7 linked regions of the Coturnix japonica genome follow. The protein of the gene in region 5 interacts with the protein of the main gene of each other region in a pairwise test. Links are inferred from orthologs where the notes say so. Each region holds a gene or a part of one and is shown on either strand. Other genes may lie near its edges.

Region 1 (3,978 bases), on a different chromosome or scaffold from region 5:
CCCTGTCTGGGGAAGCAAACGCCTCCATGGAGAGTGGCAAACTCTTTGATAACCTTCAAGGTGAAATACTCATTGTCTCTCGCTTTATCCAGGAATGGATTATCTGGGTTGTGGAACAATGAGGTCATGTCTTTTCTCTACACTGCTGGAGAGTGCTTCAGGTTTCACACAGGGTAGCTGCTCCCGTCCAGCCTTCTCTGCTTAATGCCATGGAAAGCAGCTTCTCTGTCAGTGAGCTTTCCCAAAGCTGAGGATGTGAATTGTGTCTATTTGGCCTCACGTTGTTATGCATGAGGCATCTCCGTGGCGTTTGGATTGCTGTGTTAGCTGGGAGCTGGATGTGTTGGGTGCAGTAAGGTGAGGCGACCAAAGTCATTGGGCTCCTTTCAGGTGAATGTCCCCCTGGCTGCACTGCCACAGCCCAAACCTGGGCACCGCAGCTTTAATGGAGAGCTGTTGCCTTGAGAGTGAGGGATCCCTAAACAGGGCTGCAGGTGTGAAGGCCAAGGGGTGCTTAAGTAGATTAGAACACAAATACAACCTTGAATGTGCTGGCATGCTTCCTCACCACCAAATCAGCAAGCTCTACCCTTCTACCCTACAGATTCTATCTTTCAGATGGTTATGCTCTTTAATAAGCAGGACCCCTAGAAAAGAAAAAGTAAAAATAGAAAATCATATTAAAAAATTCTGTGTTGATTTCAAGCAAAGCACAAAAATACCAGAGATCCCATGAATACTGAGATTACGGTGGTGTGCACAGGATGCTGCCACACAAAAAATCTCTGTGACAGAAAATCCTTGAAATTTGGTTTACAGAACTCACTGCTGTTTTTTGTACAAACATGTAACATAACTCATCCACCTCTTTCTTCTTAGTGTCGTGGAAATCTTGGTTAAGCTGTCTGAAACATGTAGAAACAACTGGTTCCCTTGGTCTGAGCCCACATCCAGGCTTTCATCATCCGTAATTTTGGTAAAAAGCTGCTTTTGTTAATGTAACGCATCATAGTAACCGGTTACACTTTCACTACAAAAGGGTGTTTTATTTTCCCGAGGGATGAATAGCAATCGAGGGTCAGCTGGTAGTGCCAAGTGCCTTGATAACACAATTGGCTGCATAGAGCTTTGTTAGGCCCCTCCGTGCTTGCTGGGGAGACTTAAAAGAAGATGGTGGGAGAGCTGCTCCCTGCATACTTGACTGCTGAGGGTCTGAGTTTTTCGCCGAATCACAGAATTGAAGGGATTGGACTTTGGTTTGCCTGCTGGATAAGAAGGTAAGTGCCTGAAGCAGAGCCCAAGGAGCCCTCACTGCCTAACAGTGGGGGCTGGGGAGGAGAGGAGACGGACACAATGTTTGAAGATGACTGTATGAATTTCTGCCCTGAAATCAAACACTCACTGATTTTAGTTTGGAAAGATAGGGGCTGAGAGAGTCGGTGGGAGGCAGAAAGTGGGAGTAGCGAGTGTAATCAGAGCAAGGGCTGATCTGTGTCATCTTGATGCTGATTTCGGTGTGTTTGTGACACACAGCTGTAGTCACCCTGACCCATGTTAGGAAGCATCTCTGTTAAACACTCAGTGGGGTCTGGCTTTGATCTCATTAACCTTATCAGCGCTGGATTAGCAAATGTGCTTCTGGAGCCTGACTCTCAAATACTTAAGTTGAGATTATGATTCATTTTTTCTTTCTTTCAAAGTAAAATCAAATCCAAGATTAAGTTGGACATGAGCCAGCAGTGTGAGCTTGCAGCCTGGAAATCCAGCTACATCCTGGGCTGCATTAAAAAAGGGGTGGCCAGCAGGGAGAGGGAAGTGATTGTCCCCCTCTACCCAGCTCTACCACAACTGTGTCCAGACCTGGGGCCCCCAGTACAGGAAGGATGTGGAGCTCTTAGAGTGGGTCCAGAGGAGAGCTGCTAAAATGATCAGAGGGCTGGAGCAGCTCTCCTGTGAGGAAAGGTTGAGGGAACTGGGCTTGTTTAGCTTGGAGAAAAGAAGGCTCTGAGGAGACCTCATTGCAGCCTCCCAGTACTTGAAGGGAGTGTTTAAACAGGAGGGGGAACAGCTGTTTATGAGGATGGACAGTGATAGGACAAGGGGGAATGGTTTTAAACTGAGACAGGGGAGGTTTAGGTTAGAGATTAGGAGGAAGTTTTTCACGCAGAGGGTGGTGATGCCCTGGAACATGTTGCCCAAGGAGGTTGTGGATGCCCCATCCCTGGAGGCATTCAAGGCCAGGCTGGATGTGGCTCTGGGCAGCCTGGTCTGGTGGTTGGCTGCCATGCATATATAGCAGGGGGTTGAAACTCGGTGATGATTGTGGTCCTTTTCAACCCAGGCCATTCCATGATTAAGCTGTCCTAGGCCAAACCCACTGGCTTCTGCATTGGTCTCACAGTCTCTGGGTAGTGCAGAGAGGTGGCCTTCATGGAATTCTATCCCTGAGGTGAGAGCCAGTCCCCAGATGTCATCTTCCAGTGTCATCTTTTCATTGGAGTAAATAAAGAATAGAATAAAACCCCTTCTCAGCCAACCTGTACAGCACTATGGGTTACTTCCTTGCATTGCTTGTACCTGTTGTGGCTATAATGGAATGAAATCATGGTATTTTTACAGATTTTTTTCCTCTTGGAAATATTTCATTATAATTATTAAATAATTATTTGGCAGCAGTCAGCACTGCTGCAAAAACCTTTTTCTTTCTTTTTTTTTTTTAATGTTAAAATGAAATGTCTTCTGGATCTTCCAGAAATTTAGTAGCAACTAGTGGGGAAAGGAGGGAAATTCTGCCTGTTTTCCTCAATGAGAACAGAAGGAAAACGTTGGTGAGTAAAACTATGAGAAAATCTGTGGAGGAAATAAAATTAATAGAAAGCATGTGTGGAAAACTTCCTCCTTCTAAGTGTGCTCATTGTTTATTTCTAAACTCTACATGAAAAAACAATGAGATGGAGAAGAAAAGCCCACAGTACATCATTAAGCTCAAAGAAGTTTTATTTTCCTACGAGTATTTGTAGCCATCAAAAGGATCCAGTACCTCCAGCGGGCCGTTTTGTACCTCCCTGCTGTTTTTCATGGAAGTTTACGTGGTTGTCCCCTGAGATCATGTGATAGGAGATGGTTGCTTTGTGGAAAATAACATGCTAAGCAGATGTGAGGTTAGAACCTTGGGCCCTGTGAAACAAGGGAATGCAGCTGACTTTCAACTGTGAGACAGTAGGAGTAAGGTCCCAGAACAGCACTGATAGGGGCTGAAGCAGAGCTAATGGCTTCAGGAGAAACTGAGGCAATGCCCTGGGCCGTTCCTGTGGCCATTCCTGCTGGCAAGCTCTGCCACACTGACCAAACAAGTTGTAGGCAGTTTGTACTTAAGCATCCACCCTGGCATATCCATAGTGACTATCTTAAGTTAACACGAGATGATGTATTCTGAATTCTGGAAGATGCTGGCACGGTGTGATGACAAAATCAACCTTGTAAGTGAGCATCAGCTGGAGAAGAGGGGTGTTTGTAAATCTTAGGCTTTTTTTTTCCCCCATCCTTAGAGCTGACATGTTTTACCCTAGTCCTAAAAAAAAGAAAAGCCCCAGTGCTGTAAGAAAAAACCTCCATAGATTAATTTCAAAAAGAAAGTTCCGTGTTACTGCATGCTGTCTGAAAGTGTGTGACTCTCAAGAACATCCAAGAAAAGCAACCGGGTTTTTCCTGGGGATTCCTTCAGAACGAAGTGAGGCCTACTTTGCTCTGTGTATGCTTTCGGAACTGTTTATTTGATTGGTGTCTTGGAGATGGCTTTGCACAAAGATGCGCTCTACACCTTGAAATGGTTTCTGTCAGGATTGGACTCTTTAGCTTGACGTTTTGGGAATAGCCAGTACCTTCTACTGTTACTAGTGCGCTGTAATTTTAAGCTGAATTTATCCTATGACGTTATCTTGGGGACCACGGGAGACACAACAGCTGAGATGAAGCAGA
Region 2 (3,883 bases), on a different chromosome or scaffold from region 5:
AGTTCTTCTCGGGGATGGGGAGAGTATTTTATTTTAATTTATTTTATTTTAATCGGATGAGGGAATGCCTACTTTCTGAAACTTCCTATACAGCAAAAGCGTGAAATTGAAGAAAACATAAGTAATGCTGCTTCGTGATAAGCTTGCAGGACTTCTGGGGGGAGCACTATGACACACTCTGCAGTCAAAACCAGGAGTTGGCAGTGTTTAAAATAGTCGGTTACTCTTTAAAGCCTAGATTTTTTTTGGGGGGGGAGGAAAAAGCACTTGAGGGGAGGGCACCAGGAGTTAAAAGGTTAAATGCTTTCCGCTGCTGTTAGAAGAAAGACAGTGTCTGGAGATGTTCATTGTTAAAGTGTTTGGCTATATTTTATTATACTGTGGTATAGTATTCTTGTTGGTAACTGATGTGTACAGAGTAACACTATGGTGCTCTCTCTAGGTATAATTGAAGACATTGTGTGGTCCTTGTAAGGAGCTTGGTTCCTGCTTGGATTTTAATTGTAAAATATTGTTCTGGATTTTTGTGTAGGTAATTGGATTTAGGAACTGCTTTAAAATATGATAAAGGCAAAACAAATACTGAGTGATTCAGAGGTCAGTGCTTGAAACTTGTGCATATTTTAACGTGGAAGTAAGTTATGTGCAAGTCCCCATCTTTTGGGTCTTTTCCTGACTTCCCATTTAAATTCTCAAGACTGCCTTTCAACTTTGTAGTTATTCATCCTTTAAAGCTGTTAGCAACCAAGTAACCTCCTTGGGTGCTGATGTTATCTGATGGCATTATTCACGCCTCTCTCCCAGGAGCCACTCTTGGTAATATTTGAGGTGTAGTCTATGGAATTTTTTACACATTTTATAAATACCAAAACTGGTAGCATTGCTTTTGTAGTACTGAGCCTTAAAATAACAATTGCAGTGGTGTACAAGTATGACACACACTAAAATATTGGAGAAAGATATTTTTACTTGTGCTGCTGAAGTTTTTGGTAGCACTAACTCATTTAATGTCTAACCTCAAACATTTTATTGCTATTTAGTGTTTTTCTTGGGACCATTGGTATTAAACTAAAATTTCCTATTTACATCATGTAAAGTTTAATGTGTAAAGAAACTGGCCTACCAAAATATTATCCAGTTTTAAACAAAATTGGAGAATTGTATGTCTGTCATCAGCAGGTCATGTTACACTTGCTAAATGCTTGCAGGCTCTTTCTAATTTAATGTAAAATAAGGTTTTCAGTAGTATCGTGTGAAAAGAAGAGTCACTTAAAGGGGCTGAAAGTTGGTCACATTAGAGGCTGTGGTCTGGCAGGAGGATGGCCTGGGATGTCCTAGTTACCAACCGTCATCCTTAGGCTTTCTAGAGGCACAGGCTGAAATGCACGGACCTAGAACAGAGTCTCTTTAAGCTTTCTGCAGGAGTAGCCAGGGGAGGCCAAGTAGAGCATACTTAGCTGACCAGCACTGCACTCCCCCCTGAGCTGTGAATCCTTTTTTAATGGCTGATGCATTACTTTGAATGTGTGCAGTACTGTGGAATCCTGCAGGCTGGTGGAGAGCATGAGATGTGTTGCAATTAGTGAATCCTCTCTTTGTTGCTCCAGGATTTCAGATGTGTTCTAAGCCTGCTGGGGTGAGCACGCTTCCGGGCAGCGATGGAGACGAGAACTCAGCACGGCAGTGGGTCGGAGGCCTTGCTACAGGCTCGGCGTGACAGTGGGAGGCCGCATGGGGAGCCCGACCTGCGGGATGTCCTGACGCAGCAAGTCCACATCCTGTCCCTGGACCAGATCAGAGCCATCCGCAACACGAATGAGTACACAGAGGGACCGACGGTGGCTCCGCGGCCAGGGGTCAAGTCTGCTCCTCGTCCAGCAAACCAACCCAAAAATGAGAGGCCTCACGGCCTGCCTGAGCATCGCCATTTTAGCCGGGTTCAGCACACGCAAATGCACGCTTCTCCTAGGGCACCTCTGTCCCGCTCCATCAGCACAGTCAGCACAGGCTCACGGAGCAGTACAAGGACAAGTACAAGCAGTAATTCCTCTGAACATAGACTTCTAGGATCATCTTCAGGGCCAATTGCTGATGGGATAGTCCGCATGCAGCCCAAGTCTGAGCTCAAGTCGAGTGAGCTGAAGCCGCTGAGCAAAGAAGATTTGGGAGCACACAGCTACAGGTGCGAGGACTGTGGGAAGTGCAAGTGCAAGGAGTGCACGTATCCAAGGACCCTTCCGTCGTGTTGGATCTGTGACAAACAGTGTCTTTGCTCAGCCCAGAACGTGGTCGATTATGGGACTTGTGTGTGCTGTGTGAAGGGCCTCTTCTATCACTGCTCCAACGATGACGAGGACAACTGCGCTGACAACCCCTGCTCTTGCAGTCAGTCGCACTGCTGCACTAGGTGGTCGGCCATGGGTGTGGTGTCCCTCTTCCTGCCTTGCTTGTGGTGTTACCTGCCAGCCAAGGGTTGCCTTAAGTTATGCCAGGGCTGTTACGACCGGGTCAATCGGCCTGGGTGCCGCTGTAAACACTCCAACACGGTTTGCTGCAAAGTTCCCAGTGTCCCCCCCAGGAACTTTGAAAAGCCAACATAGCATCACCAATCAGAAATAATCAAGTAATAAGGATTATTTTAACATATATGCAACCAACTAAGCAGCTAAGGTCTTGGCACTGTAGTAGAAGGGTTGGGGGTACACTTTGCTGTTTGCAGTGACATGCTTTTCTCTGTGTGCCATCTTAATTGATAGGCTTGTTAGAATCCAACTAGTGGGATGCAGAATAAAAAAGGCAATGCAGTACATCGTGACCCACATATTGCATAAGCTAAAGCAACACAGACACTCCTAGGCAACTCCATGGTTTGTGAATAGTACTTGCAAAATTTGTAAATTAGCAAATGACTCCCTTTTTTCATTGTTTTCTGCCAGAGATAATGTGCTATATTTTTGTATATACAATAATATTTTCAACTGTGAAAAATAAGTGGTGTCATAAGACATGGCACAGTCACAAAATATTATACTAATATGTTGTACATTCGGAAGAATGTGAATCAATCAGTATGTTTTTAGATTGTATTTTGTCTTACGGAAACCTTCTATTACAAGACTCTGATTTCCCTTTGGACTTCATGTATATTGTACAGTTACAGTAAAATTCAGCCTTTATTTTCTAATTTTTTCAACATATTGTTTAGTGTAAAGAATATTTATTTGAAGTTTTATTATTTTATAAAAAGAAATATTTATTTTAAGAGGCATCTTACAAGTGTCACCCCTTTTTATGAGGACGTCATAGTTGCTGCAAATAAGGGGTGAACGATGCATATGTTCACTATAAAATAGAAAATATATTAACGTTTGAAATTAAACTGGGCTACTTGTCATTTTTTCCCCCATTTATTGTTTTGAGTTGGGAAAAACAATACTTTAAATTGCAGACTTTGAAGTAATATTGCCATGGCCAATCTAATTTGACCAGCTTGAAAATCAAAACAGAACTTTTAAGTGTACTTTTTCTTCTTTGTTTACTGCTTCACCTGAAAGTAATGCAGGATTTTCGCTTCCTTTATACAAATGTCACATATGCTGGTCCTGCATCTGAAAAGGAAAGTGAACATAGGAGAGCGCGTTGATTCATTCCAGACTAGCAATAATGGGCACTGAAAGGTTGACCTATTCTGTAAGTGATGAGCTTTTGTGCTTCAGATAGGAAATAAGTAATCATTCACAAAAAAAAAAAAAAAAAAAAAAAAGTTAGGCTTGCATAGCTTTACTCAGAGAGGGGGGAAGAAGGGGGAAGATTGATATCGTCAGTGCAAAAAGCTTACAGGATTATTTGTTAAAAGCAGAAGAATATGCCACAGGGGATGATA
Region 3 (4,220 bases), on a different chromosome or scaffold from region 5:
AAGAAACATTAAAAGTACTTATAAAAAGTCTTTGGTGACCTTCAGTATTTTGCTTCCCTAAGATATTTGAAGCTAAGAGACATAAACCAGATTTCAGCAAGCTGTAACTCTTCAAACAAGTCATGGAGCACGACCTTGAATGGATTATTGCATCTTGCACTGAATGAAGCACATGGAGAGGAGGTGAGGCTGTTACTCTGTACTGACTGATGGAGTTTTCTTACAGTATTTGTTTTGCTGTAGATGTTGATGTCAAATAGTGAATCTGCCTTTCCTCAGTCACTGGTGTTGTTATTTACATTACTTAGTTCCTACCTAAACATTGTTACCTTGGGGCCACAAATAGTTCTAAACATAAATCATTTAGGGATCCTGTTTGTTGAGACTGTGTTTTAGCAACAGATGAAATAACTGTTTGTACGTAATCAAACCATAAAATCATGTTTTGCAGATTTCTGAAGATAGAAGTTTGTTTTGGCTGGAAACACTCAGCAGAAGGGTAGGACAAGACTAATGATTCTGCTCACTGCTGGGCATCAAACTTCACTGTCCAGCCCTTTCCACAATGTCTGTCTTTAGAATTTGCAAATGTTCATTTATGGTATTCAAAACAGATGCTGAGAAGTTCTAACATATTGGGCTTATTACACATGAATGAAATAGAAGTGAGCACTGAATGAATGTGTCAGGTTGGTTCAGCTTCATTTGTAATCTCACAGTTCACCAGAACAGAGAATACATCTTCTGTGACATTGACAGTTTTATTCATGGTGGCATTTAATAGAATTTATGACTGATGTGACTTAGTTCAGACTTGAAGACTCAGACCTAACAATTGACAGCCTGCATTGACTATGACCATTGTTTTTTTTATCTCCGCCTTTCTATAGTGGATGTATGAAAGCTGCAAATCTACCTACATTACCAGGCTCATGTAAAAATACTGAACTGAAATGCATGTTTTCTAATATATAATGCTCCTTTGAAGAAGGTACTGATCTACTCTGCATGTGCATGGTGAATAAGAAAAGCCTAAAGAGCATCCCTTGGAAATGTTTTCTAGCAATGGGAATCTAAAGCATTGGGAGGCTTCCTGAGCTGGTTGTGGAGCCTCCAATCACTGGAGACATTTAAGAACAGGGTAGAGAAATCTGGCTCAAGAATGCCATAGGTACTATTGATCCCATTACAGAAAGTAGAAAATATTATCTTAAAATTCTTACCGGTTATCTTCTAGAATAATTTGGTTTCTTGTGGCCATAAATATATAAGAACCACTGTAAAACACTTAGCATGCTATTTTGGAGAGCGGAGGTGTTTTTCACTTATTTTTAGAACTTGACCTTAAGACTGAAAAATAACTTTTTCCTTCTGACTTTTGTTCTTTGCTTGGCAAACATCAGTTAAAAACACAGAGATGGAAAATATTTAAACTTTAAACTAGCATGAGCTTTTCTTTTTGTTGTTTGTTTGTGTGCTCGTTTCATTTGTGATGTCAACGCCAGCCAGGCAAAAAGGTGTAACTAACCTGGCACTGCAGAGTGTAGAAATACTGTTATGCCAAAGCCCAGATAAACACCATCTACTGCTCAGATTTATTAATTTATTTTTATCAATAATACTTAAAAAGAACAAATTTTACTGGCAAATCTGGAAGATGTTTCCCCACCAGATAATAATAAGTTCGAGTACATCATCCACTCTTTAACTTGCCCTTTTAAAACAGGAGGAGGTATCCAGAATTAATCATCATCATGACCCAACACTTTCTGATCTACTATTGTGTGTTTAAGCTGCACTGCAGTGTTGATTTATGGCATCTCCAGCACTTAGATCTGAATATAGAAAGATGAAGAATGAGTCCAAGGAAAATAAGTGTTGGAATGACCTCATTTTGTGGAGACAACATGTCTTGGTCAGCTTCAGAAAGCTGTGAAGAAGCTGCATTTTTCTCTGTGCAGTTATTTTACTACCATTAGAGAAAAGAAAAGATCCCAGCATCTCTTGCAGAATAAAGAGAAATGACTCCAGGTTTCTAGAATGTAAAGATACACTGATGGCTGCCTTCACATCCAGAAGACATCATTTATAATTAGCCTAATGTAAATATAATATGCCTCAGTTCCGTTCATTTAGAAGAAGTGATCAATAAGCACTATTTTGTCACCATACTGTCCCACACTAATTGTTGCTGAGGAAAATGGATGTCATTTCTCAGCAGTGAATATTCCTGATGTCACTGAGCTTGAGGACTTGCAGCTTCTAAATACAAACAGTTTCTTGTGCTGTTACACATCAGCAGAGTCACATAGAGGTAACATGTTTCGTGTGTTCAGCTTACCCTCCAGCCTCCACTAACAAATTAATTATCAGTGACTTTTGGAAGGCAAAACAGGTGGTGATGAGCTTAAAGATTGTCCATGTAGACAAAGATCTCTTGCTTCCCTGAAGAGAGCTGGCATCACTGCTGGTAGCCCTTAATCTTTTAAATCCTTTAACTTGCAACTTGTCCATACAATGTATTTGAAAGAGTGAGATTCTCTTTTTACCATCCATCCTTCACGCTGACTTGAAGAGTTTGGAAGCTTTCTTCTTTTTCTGCCAATTATTTGAATTTCTTCAGTCCACAGTAAAACCAAAGAAAATACTCTAATTTCTGGCTTTGATGAGTTAGTTTGAATGCTAAATAATGGGCATAACTTAAAAATTTGTGAATTTTACACATAACGTGATCACCAGTTTATAGTATTGCAACAGGGTTTGTCATTCTGAGCAGCTGGAAGTGTTCAGAAAAAAGCTGAGCTCTGTGCAGGAGAATCGTGACTCCTCTTGACAGTCTCCCACAGCTCTTTCTGGATGCTAACATTGCTCCCTTGCTGGCTGGGGGTCACATTGTTATACAAGCCAACTTCACATGGCCTTAAAAATGGTTGTTTTCAGGCAGCCCACAACCTCTGCTGAAAAATTGGTTTCCTTTTTTTGGCCTCTGAAAGCTTAGAAACGTAGAAGTATCCAGTTATTTAGATAATGGGCTTTCAAGCAACATTTTTATTAGGTGTCTGAGTTTAAGGCTTTTTGAATGTAGGTTTGTTTGGTTCTATGTCTTGATACCATCAAGTAATTAATACTCCACTTGGATAGCAGAAAATGCATTCATATTTTATTTGCCTCACATTAAATGGTTCCTTTTTTGTTGTTGTTTTCCTCCACAAACCACAAGAAATAAACCTACGTGGTTGATTTGATCTTTGGGTTCGCACCAAAAAGTCACTTGCTGTGTATAACATGAGGTGACATGCTCCAGACAAGCAGAATGATACCTAGGGTAACGTAAGCAAACTAAATTAATGTTTAGTATAAATTTATTTGGTGTGAGAACATGTGAAATCTGTCTGCTGCAGCATTCTTGTAGTATAGAACTAACACTTGTTTGCATGCTGTGTTGAACATGCACGCTCAGTTGTGCCTACAGGACTACACAGTTACCTCCAAGAACTGTGCATAGCCACAGGGACGGGAAGCCTTTCCTGAATATGGGAGGTCTGAGGCCAAAACGAGGACAAAAACCTTCTGTAAATATCCAAATATTCTGCTTCTATAACACTGTAAAGACTGAACTACTGTTTTCTGGGGCTTTCCCGTCTGTGGTGTCCCCGAGGATTTTGGATGATCAACACACTAATAGATTTCATAATCAAACAGTGAGAATGTGTGACCAGGAATTTCACTGCTCTACAGACTCACCTTTTTACAGGCCATGGTTTAACTTGCAGTTTCCTTCATGTAATAGCTTTAGGATTTTTTGGGGGCCAATTTGCTTTGGCTGCTCTGGATGGATTTCTCAATCTGCTCTGTGTCTTCTGGTGGAAAGTGCTGGATTTAGACTGACTGAGGGAAAGTGCTGGACTGAGACTCATTCTTTCACAGACAAGAAGCAGCAGTCTCCCTTCCTTTCATGCTGTCACCTCTGCATTGCATCCTTCCCTTAGACAAGCCTGGGTAAGGGGGAAATGAGAGAATGTCAGCCTCTAACGATCGATCCATTTGCCAGATCCCTTACTAAAAGTGGTGTGATAGCCCCTCTATGGAGCTGGACTCAATAATTCTACCCCAAGTGGTAAAACTGCCTTGGGGTGTTTCGAGAGCCTTTTGTGAAACTCCACTGGGGTCCAGATGTCTCATAGCTTTTGTGATGTTGTGAGTAGTTTCAGAAGGAAAAT
Region 4 (4,180 bases), on a different chromosome or scaffold from region 5:
CGGCCCTGTGTTCCCAGCTGTGTCACACCTCTTGTTCCACGTTCTGTCCCGCATCCCGTGTGCCATGTGCTCACACCGTGCTCCCAGCCTTACGGCCCGCGTCCCCATCGCTGTCCCCAGCCCCGCGTGCTACGTACCCAACCTCGCGTCCCACGTCCCAACTCCAACGTCCTCGTCCCCAGCCGTACGTGCCACGCACCGAACCTCACGTCCCAGACCGCAGCCCTTTGTCCTCCATCCCCACCCCGCGTCCCGTCGCCCCAGCTCCGCGTCCCACCCCCGCTCCCGTCCCCGGCCCCGTCCCACCCCGTGTCCCCACGTCCCTCCCCCAGCGCCGTGTGGCCGCCCGCCCGGCCCCGCCCCGCCCGGCCCCGCTCCCTCCCGCCCGCCGCAGGGCCGCGCCGGAGGCAGCCGCGGGCGGGTGGCGGAGCGGCGGCGGCACCATGAGCAGCGGCGCCGCCGAGCGGGAGGGCCCCGCCGAGCCGGGCCTGCCCGAAGAGGAGGTAGCGGGCCGGGCGGGGGAGGGGGAGCCGCCGAGGGCGGGCCGGGTCCCGGGGCGGGAGCGGTGCGGCCCCCACGCGTGTCCGCGGGGTCCCGTCAGCCTGGGCGTGGGGCTCGGGGCGCGGCGGGAAGCTATGGAAGTTGGTGGGGGGGGAGGCGGAGCGGCCCGGAGCCGGGTGCGCCTCGGCACAAGGGCTGTGGGACGCGGGGCGCTTGGACTCACGCGGGGTGCGGGCACGGCGCCTCGTCCCCCGGAGCGGAGGCGGCGGCACAAGGTCCCGTCGGGCGGCACGGCGGCCGCGCACAGAGCCTGGCCGGGGACGGGAGCCGGGACGGCGGCCCCGCTCGGCTCTCGGCGGCACCGCTCCCGGCACAGCGCGAGGTCGGTGCCGCCGCTGCCCGGCCGCCGCGCCCTCACCCCGAGTGCGCGGGCACGAGGACGGGTCGCGGTCACGCCGCGGGCGGGGGTCGGGGCGGGGGCAGCCGAGCGGCTCACCGCTGGTGGAACATTAAAGCGAGCCCGGGGAAGGTGATCGGATGCCTGGGGAATGAGTCACCGCGCTCCTCCCGACGGTCCCTTCCTGCCCGAGCTGACCGGCGGAGCTCGGCGCTGGGGCGGCGGAGCGTGACCGCGTCCTTGGGGCAGCCGAGGGGCCACGGCGCTGACCCGGTGCCCGTCGCACCGCCCGCGGCCGCCGCTGCTGTGCCGAGCCGCCTCCGGGCCGCTCTCGGGCGGAGCGAGGCCCGCCAGGTCTCCCCGAATGTCCCCGGGGCGAGGAGAAAACCTGCCGGGCGGGGACAGCGCGAAGGGGACGGAGCAGGCACGAGGCTGCGCCCCGGTCTGTCCGTGGGCAGCAGCAGAAACAGAGGGGTGCGGTGGGGTGGGCACGGGGTGGCTCCGGAGCACATTCACCACCCTCGCCTGGTGACAGTCCCGGGCTGTGACGAGGGATGGTGAGGGGTGAAGGCGAGCCGGGGAGAAAGGCTGAGCGCGGCAGGGTGGTGGGGCTGCCATGGGGGGTGTCAGCCCACTGGCGTGGAAGGATCCCTCCGGGAGGGGTCCCCAGCCCCCACAGAGGGGATTCTGCCACTGCCCACCCCGGCCTGCACTGACAGCATCTGCAGGGCCCGGGGAAGGCTCCAGAGCCACAGCCTCTGTCAGGGAGCTGCCCCGCTCCGTGGCAGAGCAGGGGCAGCCTTTCCCCACGGCTCCTTGCTGGGGAGACCGCATCGCAGCTCCTTCCCCAGCCTCTGCTTGTCTCTGGTTTTGGGCAGGGGGGAAAAGCCTAAATGGGATTTCCCCCACCACCCCCCTTCAAGCTCCTGCTGTAATCTGCGCTTCTCTCCCTGCTCACTGAGCACCGCAGCACTGGCCCGACTTGGCCGACCTGCGTTTGAACTTTCAAAGAAAACAAGTCATTACCGAGGAGAAGCCGCATCTCTGTGAGGCCTAATTTCGGAGGGTTTTTTTTCAGGGCCTTTATCTCTCTTATCTGCTGCGCAGCCATGGGGCTAAATTACCCGGAAAGTCAGGCTCGGGCGGGTTTAGCTTTCAGGAACACAGCTCACAGCGGGCACTTCCTTGAGGCCGTGAGCACAGAGCTGTGTGCAGGAGCGTGGCCTGGAGGCCCTGGGGAGCCTCCTGCAGGCCCACAACCAGCTGACGCTCTGCCCCTGCAGGTGAGGACCCTGTTTGTCAGCGGCCTGCCCCTGGACATCAAGCCCCGCGAGCTCTACCTGCTCTTCAGGCCCTTCAAGGTACTGCACCCGCTATGGGGCTCTGAGGGCCTCTGAGGCCAAATGAAACCAATGGTGCTTCTCTTCTCTCCCGCAGGGCTATGAGGGGTCACTTATCAAGCTCACCTCCAAGCAGGTATGGGCTGCACCGTGCCCCCACCTGCCTGGGGGCTGCCCTCACCAACTGCTGGGGATGTGGTGGGGTCTTGGCCCTGACCGCCCTTCGCCTCCTCTCTCCGCAGCCCGTGGGGTTCGTGAGCTTCGACAGCCGCTCAGAAGCTGAGGCCGCCAAGAATGCACTGAACGTGAGTGCTGGGACCCCCTAGGGAACACCAAAAGAGATGGATCCCAGTATCTATTACCCCGTGGAGACCTCCTGGGGAAGCCCGGTTCCTCCCCATCCTTGCATTGAGGCAAAACGCCGCTAATCCCTTGCTGGGAGCGTGGCTGCACGGGATACCGACTACCAAATATGGTGCTGAGCTCGAGGATGTCAGAGGAATGTGAGCCACGGGGCCATGCTCGCTGCCAAGCACATGAGGTCACGGCCACCCCAGCAGCCCGTGGGGATATTGGGACAAAATCCGAGGCTGTTTTAGCCCAAATGGCCTTCTTGAATGGGGGGCAGCACCCTACCACAAGATTCAGCCTAACTGACCTCTGCTGCCCTGTTCCTTTCCACAGGGCATCCGCTTCGACCCTGAGATCCCCCAGACCTTGCGGTTAGAGTTTGCTAAAGCCAACACCAAGATGGCCAAGAGCAAGCTGATGGGCACTCCCAACCCCAGCACGCCCCTCCCCAACACTGTACCTCAGTTCATCGCCAGGGAGCCCTGTGAGTGCTTGCATCCTGACCCTGGTCCGCCCAGTATATGGCCCTGGCAATGCCCCTTTCTTACTGAAGCAGTTGGGGCAGTGATACCTTAGGAGCTGGGTGCAGGGAAGCTTTTGGAGAGGCACGGCAACTGTGGTTGGGTTTGGAAACCAGCTGCTTGTGCTTGGGATGACGCAAGGGCAGGTGACGGTGGCCTGGGCAGAAGTGCAAAGCTTATACCTGCTGTCCACTTTCCCCTTGCTTTTAGGATTAATTTTCCTCCTTTTCCTGCAGATGAGCTCACAGTGCCTGCACTTTACCCCGGCAGCCCTGAAGTGTGGGGGCCGTACCCTCTGTACCCAGCGGAGCTGACGCCTGCTCTACCTCCTCCTGCGTTCACATACCCTGCTTCGCTGCATGCCCAGGTAATGGCACTGGCTCACAGCACTGCAGCCTTTCTGACAGGCAGAGCAAGAGGGAGGGAAAGGAGGGGAGCTCTGGGGCCAGCTGCCCAGAGGAAGAGCAATGGTAAATATTATTGCAGCCTCATACTTCCCCTGTCAAGGCAGCGCTGACAGGCAGCACCTGTGCTCCTCCTGGAGGAATCAGCACTGCAGCCACCGCAGCCCCAGGGTATGGCTGCACTACCCTTTGCTGCAGTTTTCCTTCCTGCTCACCCCCTGCCCCCATGTCTTGCAGATGCGCTGGCTCCCTCCCTCCGAGGCTGGGTCTCAGGGCTGGAAGTCCCGTCAGTTCTGCTGAATGCTGTGTAAGTGCCCCCCGGTGTCCTCCGTGTAGCACACCTGCGGTGCCAGCCAAAACTTGGGTAGGAAGGGGGACGTGCCAGCCCCATCCCTGAGCCCTGCCATGCCACCCACAGGTCTCGGGTGTGTGATGGCGGCCGACGGTCAGTCTTGTGGGTATGAACAGAGCCCCCCGGCGGCTGCTGGGCACGCACGCTCTCTGCAGAACCACAGTGTGCTGGTAAGGAGCGCAGTGCTCGGGCACAGGCTGTCCCCCCATGCTTAATCATCCACAGCGGGGGTGGGAGTTCCAACTGCCCTGTCACCCCACCCCCTCTCTGCCATACAGCTTCCTGCCCTATAGCAACACTGGTCACACTCCTCT
Region 5 (4,185 bases):
AGCAGCTGCTGCTGGACGAGCTGGTGCTGCTGGTGAACAAGCGGGACGCGCTGGTGCGGGACCTGGACGCGCAGGAGAAGCAGTGAGTAAGAGGCGGGGGGGGCCGGGCTCTGTGCCCCCGCTCACCCCCGGGTGTCCCCGCAGGGCCGAGGAGGAGGACGAGCACCTGGAGCGGACTCTGGAGCAAAACAAAGGCAAGATGGCCAAGCGGGAGGAGAAGTGCGTCCTGCAGTGAGCGGCGGCCCCGTCCTGCGCTGCCGAATCGCCGCCGAGAAGCTGCCAAGAAAGAAAAAGAGAGAGAAAAAAAATGTTTTGCAAAAAAATCAAATCAAATCAGCCCCCCCAACACACACATACACACACACACACACACACACACACACACTCTCCCCCAATCCCCCCCACTCCCCCATTCCCTCGGGCCGGAGCCGGCGGGTCCCGTCCGGAGCTCCGCGCAACCCCGGGTTCGTGCTGTAGGGTTAGAGGGGCCCGGAGATCCAACACCGACCCCACGGGGAGGGCCCTCTCGGTCCCGGTCCTGGTCCCGGTCCGCACCCCCCGCTGTCCCCGGGCCGTATTTATTGCGCCGGGCCCCGCGGAGCCCCCGTTTATTTATTACAGTGTCGAGACACGGAGAAAGCGTTTTCAATAAAAACCGAATCTTTCTTACCGGACCGAGCGCCTCCTCTGTGTGCTGCCGGGGGGAGACGGACAGCGCGGAGCTGGTGGGGGGGGGAAAGTTTGGTCGGTCGCGGGCCGGGGAAACTTCGGCGGGGTAAGAAGCGGCGGGCGGGGGGGGGAGGGGCGGCAGGGGGAGCCGGACAGGGAGCGCCGGGCGGCCTTCGTCTTCCTCCTCGTCGTCGCCGTCGGGCTTCGGGTGTCCCCGCCGAGGAACCGGGGAAGTACGGGGGAAGGAGAGAAATAAAGAAAAACGAAAAGAAGGGGGCGGGGGGGAGGGGGGAGAGGGTGAAGGGGGGAGTGAAGCCCTGCGGGTGCGGTACGCGGTACGCGGTGCGGTGCGCGGTGCGCTCGCGTTCAGCTGTAGCGCGGACGGGCGTCTTGTTGGGGCGCGCTCACCGCCTCTCAGCGCTCCCGGCCACTCGCCGCGCCTGTTCCCTCGGTTTTCTCTTCTTTTTCTTAAGAAATCCACAAAGTTTGGGGCCTTCCGGGGCTACAACCCTCCCCCCCTGCCCCTCTCTCTCTCTCTCTCTCTCCTCTGGAGCCGCCGCGTCCCGTCGCCCGCGGGGCAGAGCGGTGCGGGAGCGGCGAGGGGCAGGGGACAGGGAGAGGGGAAGGGGTCGGGAGCGGTGCGCCGGGCAGCGCGGAGCGGTGCGGAGCGGCGCGGAGCGGCGCGGGGCGGGGGGGGGGGCCCGGGGCCGCGCTGCCATTGCCCGGGCGGCTGTCAGTCAGGCGGGGAGCGGCCGCGGATTGGCGCCGGGTTGGTTACGCACGGGCTTTGCGCGCACATACAAGGGTAGGGCGGCGCGGAGGCGATCAAACCTCATCAGGGCCACGGCTCCATCGCCCCGACAGCGCGGGCCGGCGGCAAGGTAACGCGGGGAGCCCGGTCGAGCTGCGCGCCCCCACCGCCCCCTCCCGGGGGGGGCGCCCGCTCCGCTCCGCCCCGCGCTCCGCGGCCGCGCAGGGGGGGCCCGGCCCGACCCGGCCGGGGGGGTCCCGGCCACGCCGCCCCCCGTCCTCCTCCCCCCTCCCTTCGCGGCCCGGAACCCCGCGCCCGGTGCCGGTGCCGCTCCGCGCTCCCCTTCTTCACTCCTTCTTTTCAACTCTCGTCCATTTCTAATTAAAACGTCCCCGTCCGCTCGCTTTTAAATTAATTAGACTTCCCTCCTCCGGTCCCTCCTTTTGATTCCTAATCCAATTATCTTTTTAAATAATTGCTTTATCTCTCCCCATCGCCGGGCGACGGTGCCTCTCTGCGCTCGCCCGCAACTCACCTTCGTTTCGAAAAAGAATAATTATTTAAAAAAAGAAAAAGAAAAAAAAAAAAAAGAAAGAAAGAAAAGCCCCCGAACCTGCGAAGTTGCGGCTCTCTGACCCCGCTCTCTCCCCGCAGGACCGGGCCGACCCCGCTCCGCCGCCTGAGGACCGAGCGTCGGCGCCGCGGGACGGACCGAGCACTGCGCGGCTCTGCCGCTCGGCCGGGGGCTCTTTTTGTTGCGTTCGTTTTGGGGGTTTTTTTTGTTTGTTTTTGGTTTTTTTTTCCTCTTTCTCTTCTTCTTTTTTTTAAAAAAATTTATTTGTATTAGGGTTTTGTTGTTTTTTTTTTTAACTTTCCTGCGGGACGTTGGAGGAAACCCGCCCGGCTGTTAGCATGATGTCTTACCTCAAGCAGCCCCCGTACGGCATGAACGGGCTGGGGCTGCCGGGCCCCGCCATGGACCTGCTGCACCCCTCCGTCGGGTACCCGGGTGAGTCACAAACGCGGCCCCCCTCTCCCCCCTCCCCACGCTCGGATTTCGTTTGTTCTGGAGGGGAATTTTAAGGAGAATTTAAAAAAGAAAAAGAAAAGAAAATAAGGAAAGGAAAGGAAAGGAAAGGAAAGGAAAGGAAAGGAAAGGAAAGGAAAGGAAAGGAAAGGAAAGGAAAGGAAAGGAAGGAAAAGAAAAGAAAAGAAAAGAAAAGAAAAGAAAAGAAAAGAAAAGAAAAGAAAAGAAAAGAAAAGAAAAGAAAAGAAAAAGAAGGGGGAGGAGGAGGGGAGGTGGAAAAGTGATTTATTTACTCACAACGAAATCTCCATGTATCTCCCACCGCGGCCGGGCCTGATCCTTCCCAAATGCTTCTCCGCTCACCCCATCCGCGGCGGGATGGGGTCCGGCCCCACATGGCAGTGCCGTGGGTCCAAGGGGTTCTATAACGTGGGGTCTGCAGAGGGGAGGGGGGGGGATGCTCAGGCCGGGGCAGCGCGGTGCCACAGTGACGGTGCCCACCCGCAGCCACCCCACGGAAGCAGCGCCGGGAGCGCACCACCTTCACCCGCTCACAGCTGGACGTGCTGGAGGCCCTGTTTGCCAAGACGCGCTACCCCGACATCTTCATGCGGGAGGAGGTGGCCCTGAAGATCAACCTGCCCGAGTCCCGAGTGCAGGTACCGCTGGGACAGGGGCACTTGGTGTGGTGGGCCACTCTCAGCCAGTCTCCCTCGGGTGTGCGTGGGCCGTGCTGCTCAGGGGAAGGGGCTTTTGTTTATATTCTGCTCGTTTGTATTTCTTTTCAATCTTATTTGATTCGTGTTCCCCCGTCCACCTACCCTGTGGGGTTAGCAGCCCCTGTGCTGCCTTGCTGTGCACCAGCAGCCTCGGAGTGCTGCCTGTGGGGTGGGTGTGCAGGTGCTGGCCCCTTCCCCGTGGCCATTTATTGAGTCCTGATCTTGGTGGGCTCTCTTGGCCTCAAGCTCCAATGAACCCAGTGCAGCAGTATGGGACGCCCCACTGCTCTCTGAGGGCATTTGGGGTGATGCTGTCACGGCGCGGGCAGGGCTCCGTGGGTGTAATGGCGGGGTGTGGGTGCGGGTGAGGCTGCCTGGCTGCGGGAGGGCACTCAGGGCCCCTGCTCCTCGCCCCATTGCTCACAGTCCCATTTCCCCCAGGTCTGGTTCAAGAACCGCCGTGCCAAGTGCCGGCAGCAGCAGCAGAGCGGTGGTGGAGCCAAGAGTCGCCCAGCCAAGAAGAAGTCGTCACCGGCCCGTGAGAGCTCAGGCTCAGAGAGCAGCGGGCAGTTCACACCGCCGGCAGCTGCCTCCAGCTCCTCGGCCTCCTCCTCCTCCTCCAGCTCGGCCTCATCAGGGGCGGCAGCGGCGGCTGGGGCTGCCCCGGCCTCCTTGGGCACGACGGCCTCATCCATCTGGAGCCCGGCCTCCATCTCTCCTGGTGCGGCCCCGGCCGGGGTGACGGTGCCCGAGCCCCTGCCACCTGCCGGCGCGTCCTGCATGCAGCGCGCGGGGCCCGCAGCCTCCGCCAGCTACCCCGTGTCCTACGGCCAGGGCGGTGGGTACGGGCAGGGCTACCCCGCACCGCCCTCCTCGTCCTACTTCGGGGGAGTGGATTGCAGCTCCTACCTGGCCCCCATGCACTCCCACCACCATCCCCACCAGCTCAGCCCCATGGGGCCCTCCTCAGTGCCGGGCCACCACCATCACCACCCGCTGAGCCAGAGCTCGGGCCACCA
Region 6 (4,133 bases), on a different chromosome or scaffold from region 5:
AAAGGATCTAGGGGTGTTAACTGACAGCTGGCTGAACACAAGCCAGCAGTATGCACAACTACCCAAAGAGGCCAATGGCATTCTGGCTTGTATCAGAAATAGTGCAGCCAGCAGGAGAAGAGAGGTGATCATCCCTCTGTACTCTGCACTAGTGAGGCCACACCTTGAGTAGTGTGTTCAGTTTTGAGCTGCTCACTACAGGAAAAACAGGTTCTGGATTGTGTCCAGAGAACAGCAACGAAGCTGTGAAGGGTCTGGAGCAAAAGGGAAAGTTCAGGTTGGACATTAGGAAAGAATTATTCTCAGAAAGAGTGGTTACGCATTGGAATGGGCTGCTCAGGGAGGTCAGGGACTCACCATCCCCAGAGGTGTTCAGGGAATGTGTAGATGTAGCATTTACAGACATGGTTAGTGGGCACAGTGATGATGGGCTGACAGCTGGACCAGATGGTTTTTGAGGTCTTTTCCAACCTTAATAAACTGTGGAATGAGAATCTCAACTCGCTTTCAGGGATTCATGGTTTATTTTAACATGCATTATCCAAAAAGGACCATTCTCCTGCAATCTCTCTGCTTTGCCCTCCACGCACAGAGGACCGGACAGGCTCCCAGAAGGCTGCAGTACTCAGACACACTCACCGCACCAATACGTTTTGGGCTGACAATAGCAGGACACGGGGAAATGGTTTTAAGTTAAAAGAGGGAAGATTTAGGTTGGATGTTAGGGGGAAGTTCTTCACTAGGAGAGTGGTTAGGCCCTGGAACAGGCTGCCCAGGGAGGTTGTGGATGCCCCGTCCTTGGAGGTGTTCAAGACCAGGTTGGATGAGGCCCTGGGCAACCTGATCTAGTAAATGTGGATGTTTGGTGGCCCTGCCAGGCAGGGGGTTGAAACTACATGATCCTTGAGGTCCCTTCCAACCCGGGTCATTCTGTGATTCTGTGATTCTGTTTTGCACATCCCCCATGCGAGCAGCAAAGCAGCCATTGCTGGAGACCACCTTCCTCACAGAGACCTCAGCTAAGCCATTAGTCCCAACAGACACCGGTCGGTTGACAGCAGACCCCCAACCCGCCTCACTACTTCTGCGGACACCCCATAACAGAGCACAGACACACACTTAACACCCACCCAACCCCACTCGGCCGTACCGCCCCCCGTTACCCACCAGCGCAGCGCCCGCCCCCGCCGCCCATGGCGTGTTCCCGTGCGTTGCGGGGCGTGGCGTGCTGCCGGCCGGATGTTGTTGTTGTTGTTCCTGCCCCGCCTCTCGCCCCCTCCCCCCGCGGAGGGTGACGGGCGCTTCCTCGCCCGTAGCCGCGGTCTCGCAGCCGCCGTCTCCCCGCGGGCCTGCGGCCGCCCGCTCCGACCCCGGGACCTGGGGCCTCCCGCGGCCCTCCCCAGCCCGGCCCGCCGCCTCGGCTTCTCGCTTCGACCTTCCCCTCCCGGGCCCGGCCATGGCGGACTTCGACGAGATCTACGAAGAGGAGGAGGACGAGGAACGGGCGCTGGAGGAGCAGCTCCTCAAGTATTCTCCCGACCCGGTGGTGGTGCGCGGATCCGGCCATGTCACCGTGTAAGGGCCGCGCCGGGGCCTGCGCGCTGGGGGCGGGGGGAGGCCGGGGACGGGCGGCGGGCCGAGCTGCGGACGGCAACCGGAGCTGCTGCCGCTGCCTCGGTGCTGCTGCCCCGCTGCCGGCCTGGGCCCCGTGGGGGTCGCTTGGGGCTCGCAGGGAACTGCGGGAGGCGAGGAAGATGCGGGGCTGTGAGTAAGAGAGGAATGCGAAGCACGGGTCCTAAGCGCTGAGGTGTCAGGAAGTCAGGTGCGTGGGGCTGCGTGGGATCAGGAACTCGCTGCCGAGCTGTCTGCCTGCCCGCTGCACACCCGCCGTCCACCCCCGAGGGCTCTCGGGGGGCAGGAGGAGCCCCTGGGACACGCGGGTACGTGTGCGGTCGCGTTGGGTTGCGGTGGGTGCACGTGGTTTCACTTTGTCTGACACGGGAGTCGCTGCGAGTTTTGGTTTGCAAATATCCCCGGCGCTAACGCTGTGAGTTGGTGTGGGGCTCCTCAATAATTAAACAACTGAGGGTGGCTTCCCTCCAGTCGCTTCCATCGGGCTCGCGCTGTTGAGGCATAGGGTTGTCAGCTGTGATGTACAGCTTCAAATACTGAAATAACAACGTAGAGAAAGCACCGTGCGACAGACTTTATGTAGATACTTCTGTTTGTGTGCGTATACATTTAAAAAAGTATATTTTAACTGTTCAACAGGACTAGCCTGGCAGCAGAAGCATCAGAGTTGAAGGTCTTGTGTTCTTCTACTCTGACTCCTGTGACCTCTGCTGATTTCCAGATACTGACTCGTCCAGAAATCTGGGTTTAACTTCAGAATAGTTTGGTGGCGCTTTGATTCATCACTGCTATAATTGATTGATATTATGAAATGCTGACGACGAGGTGGTGCAGATTGTCAGCTGGCTATAAACAGGAAACAAGATGTGATAGACAGAGTGGTTTGGAAGCTTGGGAGGGTGTGGAGTGGGCAGGAGGCTGTGAAGCCCTCTGAAGGAAAACATATCCAAAATATTCAGTGGCTGACTTTGTATTTCAGTTCAGGGTGATCAGGAAGTTTTTGTTATCCAGTGGCTGTTTGCCATCTGTGAAAATAAGCTGGTAGCCTTCATTTTTCTTTCTGGTGAGCGATCAAGGACATTGATGGTTGTCTTATTGACAGATGGAAGTGTATCAAGAGCTGAAATTGAGGCAAACTCTGGTTTCTTCTCCAGTACATGAAGACCAGTTGTGCATGATCTGTTCGTAAAGTCATGAGGAAGCTTGCATACCATGTCTGTGACTGGTATGGACTTTGTGGCTGAAGGATAGCTGCCTCATTAATTGTTTATTAATGGTCACCGGTTCATTATAACTGTAATACCTTCCTCAAAATATTAGTTCTGTAGCTTCTGGATGAGTAAAGAAGTGTGAGCGTGGACCTCCAACATCATGCAATTGGATTTTAATGAACTTTGTTTATTGTACTGGGCACACAAACAGTTCCCTGAATAGTGGTAACCACTTTCACCTTCCTACAGCCTATAACATTTTTCTTAGTGATGGAGAAGCTTATTACTAGTACTTAGATCACTGTCAGGACATTCACTCGTTGAATTTAAGAAACAGGACAAGGTGTACATGTCTAATCAGTTTGTTCTGCCTGGCATAAAAGCATGTATGTGCTTTGAAGGCCTGGCCAAAAAGTAAAATAAAAATCAGTGGTTAAATAAAGTGAATGCTGGGTTGGTCTGTCTCTGACTCTGCTGTTTAAAGAGGTACTGACTGCTTTTGCTGTGTGTGTACTTAAATAGAAGCTCTCTTCTTCATTGACCTTTGTCATATCCTCTGATCTTCTATAGGAGTCATAATGTTTTGTTTGAAATACGTCACTTCTATGACTACAGATTTATGTCAGGAAGGCATTTACTATGACTCGATTTCATCCAACAGACAGTGGAAGTGTGTGAGAGTCCTTTCTAAGCTGAGTAGTTTAAAGAGAGTCAAAAGAATATATTATATTGTATATATAAGTATATGTATCCTGGTACTCAGTAGTAGTATTTGAGGTGGCAAGTTGGACATGTGCCTTCACAGCCCAGAAAGCCAACCTTATCCTAGGCTGCATCAACAGGAGTGCAGCCAGCAGGGGGAAGGAGGGTGATCCTGCCCCTCTGATCTGCACTTGGTGAGGCCTCTTCTGTGGAGTACTGTGTCCACATGTGGAGTTCTCAGTGCAGGAAGGACATGGACCTGGAGTGTGTCTACAGGATGGCCACAAATATGATCCGAGGGATGGAACACCTCCCCTGTGAGGAAAGGCTGAGAGATCTGGAGCTGTTCAGTCTGGAGAAGAGAAGGCTCTGGAGTGACCAGATAGCTGCCTTTCATTCTCTAAAAGGGGGCCATGAGAAAGAAGGGAACATTCTCTAGCAGGGTCTGTTGCGATAGAACAAGGGGAAATGGGTTCAAACTAAAACGGGGGAGATGTAGATTGGTTATAAGGAAGAAGTTTTCTACAATAAGGGTAGTGAAGCACTGGAAAAGGTTTCCCAGAGATTTGGATGCAGTGTCCTTAGACA
Region 7 (2,845 bases), about 43 Mb from region 5:
ATGCAATTCATCGAAGTGTTCTAAAATACTCTAAAATGCTACATGTAGGCAATCTTTTATTAAATTTCTTTATTAAAAAAAACTAAATTATCAAGCTTTCTGTGTTTGTTCTTGTTTTTGTTTTCTTATTTCTTTTTTTTCTTTTTCTTTTTTTTTTCTTTTTTTCTTTTTCTTTTTTTTTTTTTTGCTGAAGTACATAACATTATACAACAGTGTTAGAACTGGGTAGCCAGTCTTTAATAAATCAATTACAGTATCTGACATCTGAAATGTACATTGAAAATCTTTGTTCTTTTAACAATTAAACAATATCAGCGCATAGATTGTGTCACTCAGATATGGATCCCTTTAAGTGGTTTGTGCTTTTTTTTTTTTTTCCTTCTTTTTTATTTATTTTTTCTTTTTCTTTTTTTTTTTTTTGACATTGCAAACTCTGTAATGAAAATGCCACAGTTTTGGCAGTGAACAACCAGAGGAATCCTCCACTTGATTTATTTTAAATAAACAGTGATAAATAGCTCTTTCTATACAGAAATATTGGCTTCAAAAAGTCAGTGTATTGTACTCAGTAGAGCATGTTGAGTAATGCTACACCTTAAAAATTGGCTTTTTTCAGTTAGTGATGTTAAAAAAATGCAAGCCTCTTTCTGGTTTGCTGCAGTTGTTGTTTCTATGTACCATTAGACTGTATTGCACAAAAAAGTTCTTAAATACAGATATAATTTATGTTATTGGATTAAATATTGCAACAACTAAGTGGTAAGTGAAGCAGTTTTACCTTGCACATGCAATGTGAGGATACACAAGGAGACTGTTCATAAAACTACAAATACATCATTGCAATCTTGACTGCAGTTGGGTGAAAGGAGTGCGAAACAAATGTATTTTGGCAAATCCACTGTTTCTCTCCCATGCTATTTCAAGCAAGGAGGACCTTGGTAAAAATGTAGACAGAGACCATAGTATGTATTTGTTTTCTTCACAGTAGCCTGAGTAGAGCTAAACTGTAGTTCTCCAGGAACCCAGCTCCAGATGGTAATAAACTACTTTTCTTCTGTCCCGCCCACCCCCGAAAAAATGAAGTTATTTTATTTGAAAATTAAAATTAAAACTAAGTTTCAGAAGTAGAGCCTGTAATACTTTCAACAAGAGACTTATAAATTTGAGAGTTCAAGAACCTTGGGAAAGAGTCTCTGTGCATTAAGGTGTATATCTGGAGTTGGGCATCTTCATACATATGAGGACTGGGATCCAGCAAGTTTCTGTTGATCACTTCTCTCACCCGGGAGTCAAGACTAACCTGAAGAAGATGAGAACAGATGGATATTATACAGTAATGCTGGAAAGGTTGTATATATCTCTTTCTTTCATATGGCTCCATGGAACATCCTAAGTTCATCACTTTATTCAAGGTACACTCTAACTTTCAGAGTAAATGTTCTAAAATGCACACACATGATTTCAGACTCAGATGATAGACTTTATTTCAGTTTTGACTTGGTCTTTGCATCCATCTTAATAGCTGTAAGATGAAATGCCTCTATTTAACAATACTAGTGCTAATAAATAAAGTTCTGCAGTAACCTGGATTTCCCAAAATAAGTTCTTACACACTGAAATGTTTTACTTTTTACATATTTTGAAATATTTCTCACAAAGGAATGTTGAATGACCCTCACGAAGTTTCCTATTCAGCATTCTCCTCTGAATGTGTCACAGATCTTAACAAGACCAGTTCATGAGGCTAGCCAATCGATTCTTCATTACCAAGCAAAATGGCTTGGACAAGAAAGCTCACATTTGGCAGGATAGTGGTGTTCCTTTGCCACTGAATACTGTAAAAATTAATTGCCATTATAGAATGAAACAAATTAATTATGGATCTCTTAATTCACATTGTAGTTTTTCAGTGACTCACTAAAGCCATATGGCAAGATTAATTGCAATTATTCAAGTTATCTCTTTGGTAAATAGATGTGTGCAAGGTATTTGTTTAGCACACTGGGACATTCTGCCTCAGTGACTTCATCACTGAACAAGGCTGAATATTTCAGCTCCTATGCCAAAGTTTCATCCAGAATAGGATGCTGGGATGAACGAGAACTTTAAAGCTCCCATTCTGATCTAAAGCATTGCAAACTGTTCTCATTTGCCTCATACGGTTTCCAGTAGGGGCAGAAGCAGTTGGGTTAATGACATCCTTGCATTCCTAGGGAATGAATTATGTGAGCAGTTCTGTTAAATCCTAAGTCCCAAAAGACTGCTTTAGTCTTAACTGCTGGTTCATATTGGCTTTGGAAGACAACAGGACGTACAGTAAATATGTGCCTACTAGATATATATATATACACTGTCAGAAATACAGTAGCTTGCTGTACTGGCAGTTATCTCACTCCAAAGTTAAAACATACACTATGTCACAGAGAATGTAAGGGAATTTTAAATGGCTGTTGGTTTCATTCACAAGAATGAAATTGCAAAAATTTACTAAAAGCAGAGGTAAAATGTAGCAAGCAAGGTCCACAAGTAAGCATAAATTAACACATACAGAAACAAAGAAGAGTTGCTAAAGGTACGTGACATAGCCCAAGAAACTCTTCTACAATGCCTGGATATTTATTTATTTATTTATTTATTTATTTATTGTATGTTTATATATTTGTCTGTTCCAAACCATGATTTGATGCTGAAGATAATTTCAGTTGGACACTGAAGAAAACTGTATATAATTTCCTGGGTATTATCCCACCTTTCATTAGAGAAAATACGCGATCACAATTCTTAGACTATTTGATGGTATCTAGGGATAACCAAAGCAATTTTTGCTTTTTTTTCCCCAGACAGC

The links.
Region 1: the proteins of OTX1 (region 5) and SPRY1 interact in binary tests that used the Homo sapiens proteins (3 or more experiments, as listed by UniProt). The two-hybrid records come from large-scale screens. The link is inferred for Coturnix japonica from reciprocal best matches to the Homo sapiens genes OTX1 and SPRY1.
Region 2: the proteins of OTX1 (region 5) and SPRY2 interact in binary tests that used the Homo sapiens proteins (3 or more experiments, as listed by UniProt). The two-hybrid records come from large-scale screens. The link is inferred for Coturnix japonica from reciprocal best matches to the Homo sapiens genes OTX1 and SPRY2.
Region 3: the proteins of OTX1 (region 5) and COMP interact in binary tests that used the Homo sapiens proteins (3 or more experiments, as listed by UniProt). The two-hybrid records come from large-scale screens. The link is inferred for Coturnix japonica from reciprocal best matches to the Homo sapiens genes OTX1 and COMP.
Region 4: the proteins of OTX1 (region 5) and RBPMS interact in binary tests that used the Homo sapiens proteins (3 or more experiments, as listed by UniProt). The two-hybrid records come from large-scale screens. The link is inferred for Coturnix japonica from reciprocal best matches to the Homo sapiens genes OTX1 and RBPMS.
Region 6: the proteins of OTX1 (region 5) and CHIC2 interact in binary tests that used the Homo sapiens proteins (3 or more experiments, as listed by UniProt). The two-hybrid records come from large-scale screens. The link is inferred for Coturnix japonica from reciprocal best matches to the Homo sapiens genes OTX1 and CHIC2.
Region 7: the proteins of OTX1 (region 5) and RGS17 interact in binary tests that used the Homo sapiens proteins (3 or more experiments, as listed by UniProt). The two-hybrid records come from large-scale screens. The link is inferred for Coturnix japonica from reciprocal best matches to the Homo sapiens genes OTX1 and RGS17.

The regions. Positions count from the first base shown.
Region 1 is NC_029519.1:47,745,990-47,749,967, reverse strand, and holds the start of SPRY1 (protein sprouty homolog 1), read left to right. Parts: upstream 1-1,160; 5' UTR 1,161-1,277; intron 1,278-3,978. UniProt on the Homo sapiens protein: Inhibits fibroblast growth factor (FGF)-induced retinal lens fiber differentiation, probably by inhibiting FGF-mediated phosphorylation of ERK1/2. Inhibits TGFB-induced epithelial-to-mesenchymal transition in lens epithelial cells.
Region 2 is NC_029516.1:136,865,547-136,869,429, forward strand, and holds the end of SPRY2 (protein sprouty homolog 2), read left to right. Parts: intron 1-1,607; 5' UTR 1,608-1,658; coding exon 1,659-2,600; 3' UTR 2,601-3,379; downstream 3,380-3,883.
Region 3 is NC_029543.1:2,829,755-2,833,974, forward strand, and holds the start of COMP (cartilage oligomeric matrix protein), read left to right. Parts: upstream 1-1,420; 5' UTR 1,421-4,220. UniProt on the Homo sapiens protein: Plays a role in the structural integrity of cartilage via its interaction with other extracellular matrix proteins such as the collagens and fibronectin.
Region 4 is NC_029519.1:30,663,444-30,667,623, reverse strand, and holds the start of RBPMS (RNA-binding protein with multiple splicing), read left to right. Parts: upstream 1-1,380; 5' UTR 1,381-2,007; coding exon 2,008-2,259; intron 2,260-2,335; coding exon 2,336-2,374; intron 2,375-2,480; coding exon 2,481-2,543; intron 2,544-2,922; coding exon 2,923-3,073; intron 3,074-3,346; coding exon 3,347-3,477; intron 3,478-3,751; coding exon 3,752-3,814; 3' UTR 3,815-3,821; intron 3,822-3,932; exon of another isoform or gene 3,933-4,036; intron 4,037-4,180.
Region 5 is NC_029518.1:2,095,938-2,100,122, reverse strand, and holds the start of OTX1 (homeobox protein OTX1), read left to right. Parts: upstream 1-1,370; 5' UTR 1,371-1,550; intron 1,551-2,074; 5' UTR 2,075-2,332; coding exon 2,333-2,429; intron 2,430-2,954; coding exon 2,955-3,106; intron 3,107-3,607; coding exon 3,608-4,185. Other genes in the region: EHBP1 (EH domain-binding protein 1), read left to right, coding at 1-82, 145-235. UniProt on the Homo sapiens protein: Probably plays a role in the development of the brain and the sense organs. Can bind to the BCD target sequence (BTS): 5'-TCTAATCCC-3'.
Region 6 is NC_029519.1:59,083,039-59,087,171, forward strand, and holds the start of CHIC2 (cysteine-rich hydrophobic domain-containing protein 2), read left to right. Parts: upstream 1-1,314; 5' UTR 1,315-1,456; coding exon 1,457-1,575; intron 1,576-4,133.
Region 7 is NC_029518.1:44,751,539-44,754,383, forward strand, and holds part of RGS17 (regulator of G-protein signaling 17), read right to left. Parts: intron 1,301-2,845; coding exon 1,112-1,300; 3' UTR 1-1,111. UniProt on the Homo sapiens protein: Regulates G protein-coupled receptor signaling cascades, including signaling via muscarinic acetylcholine receptor CHRM2 and dopamine receptor DRD2.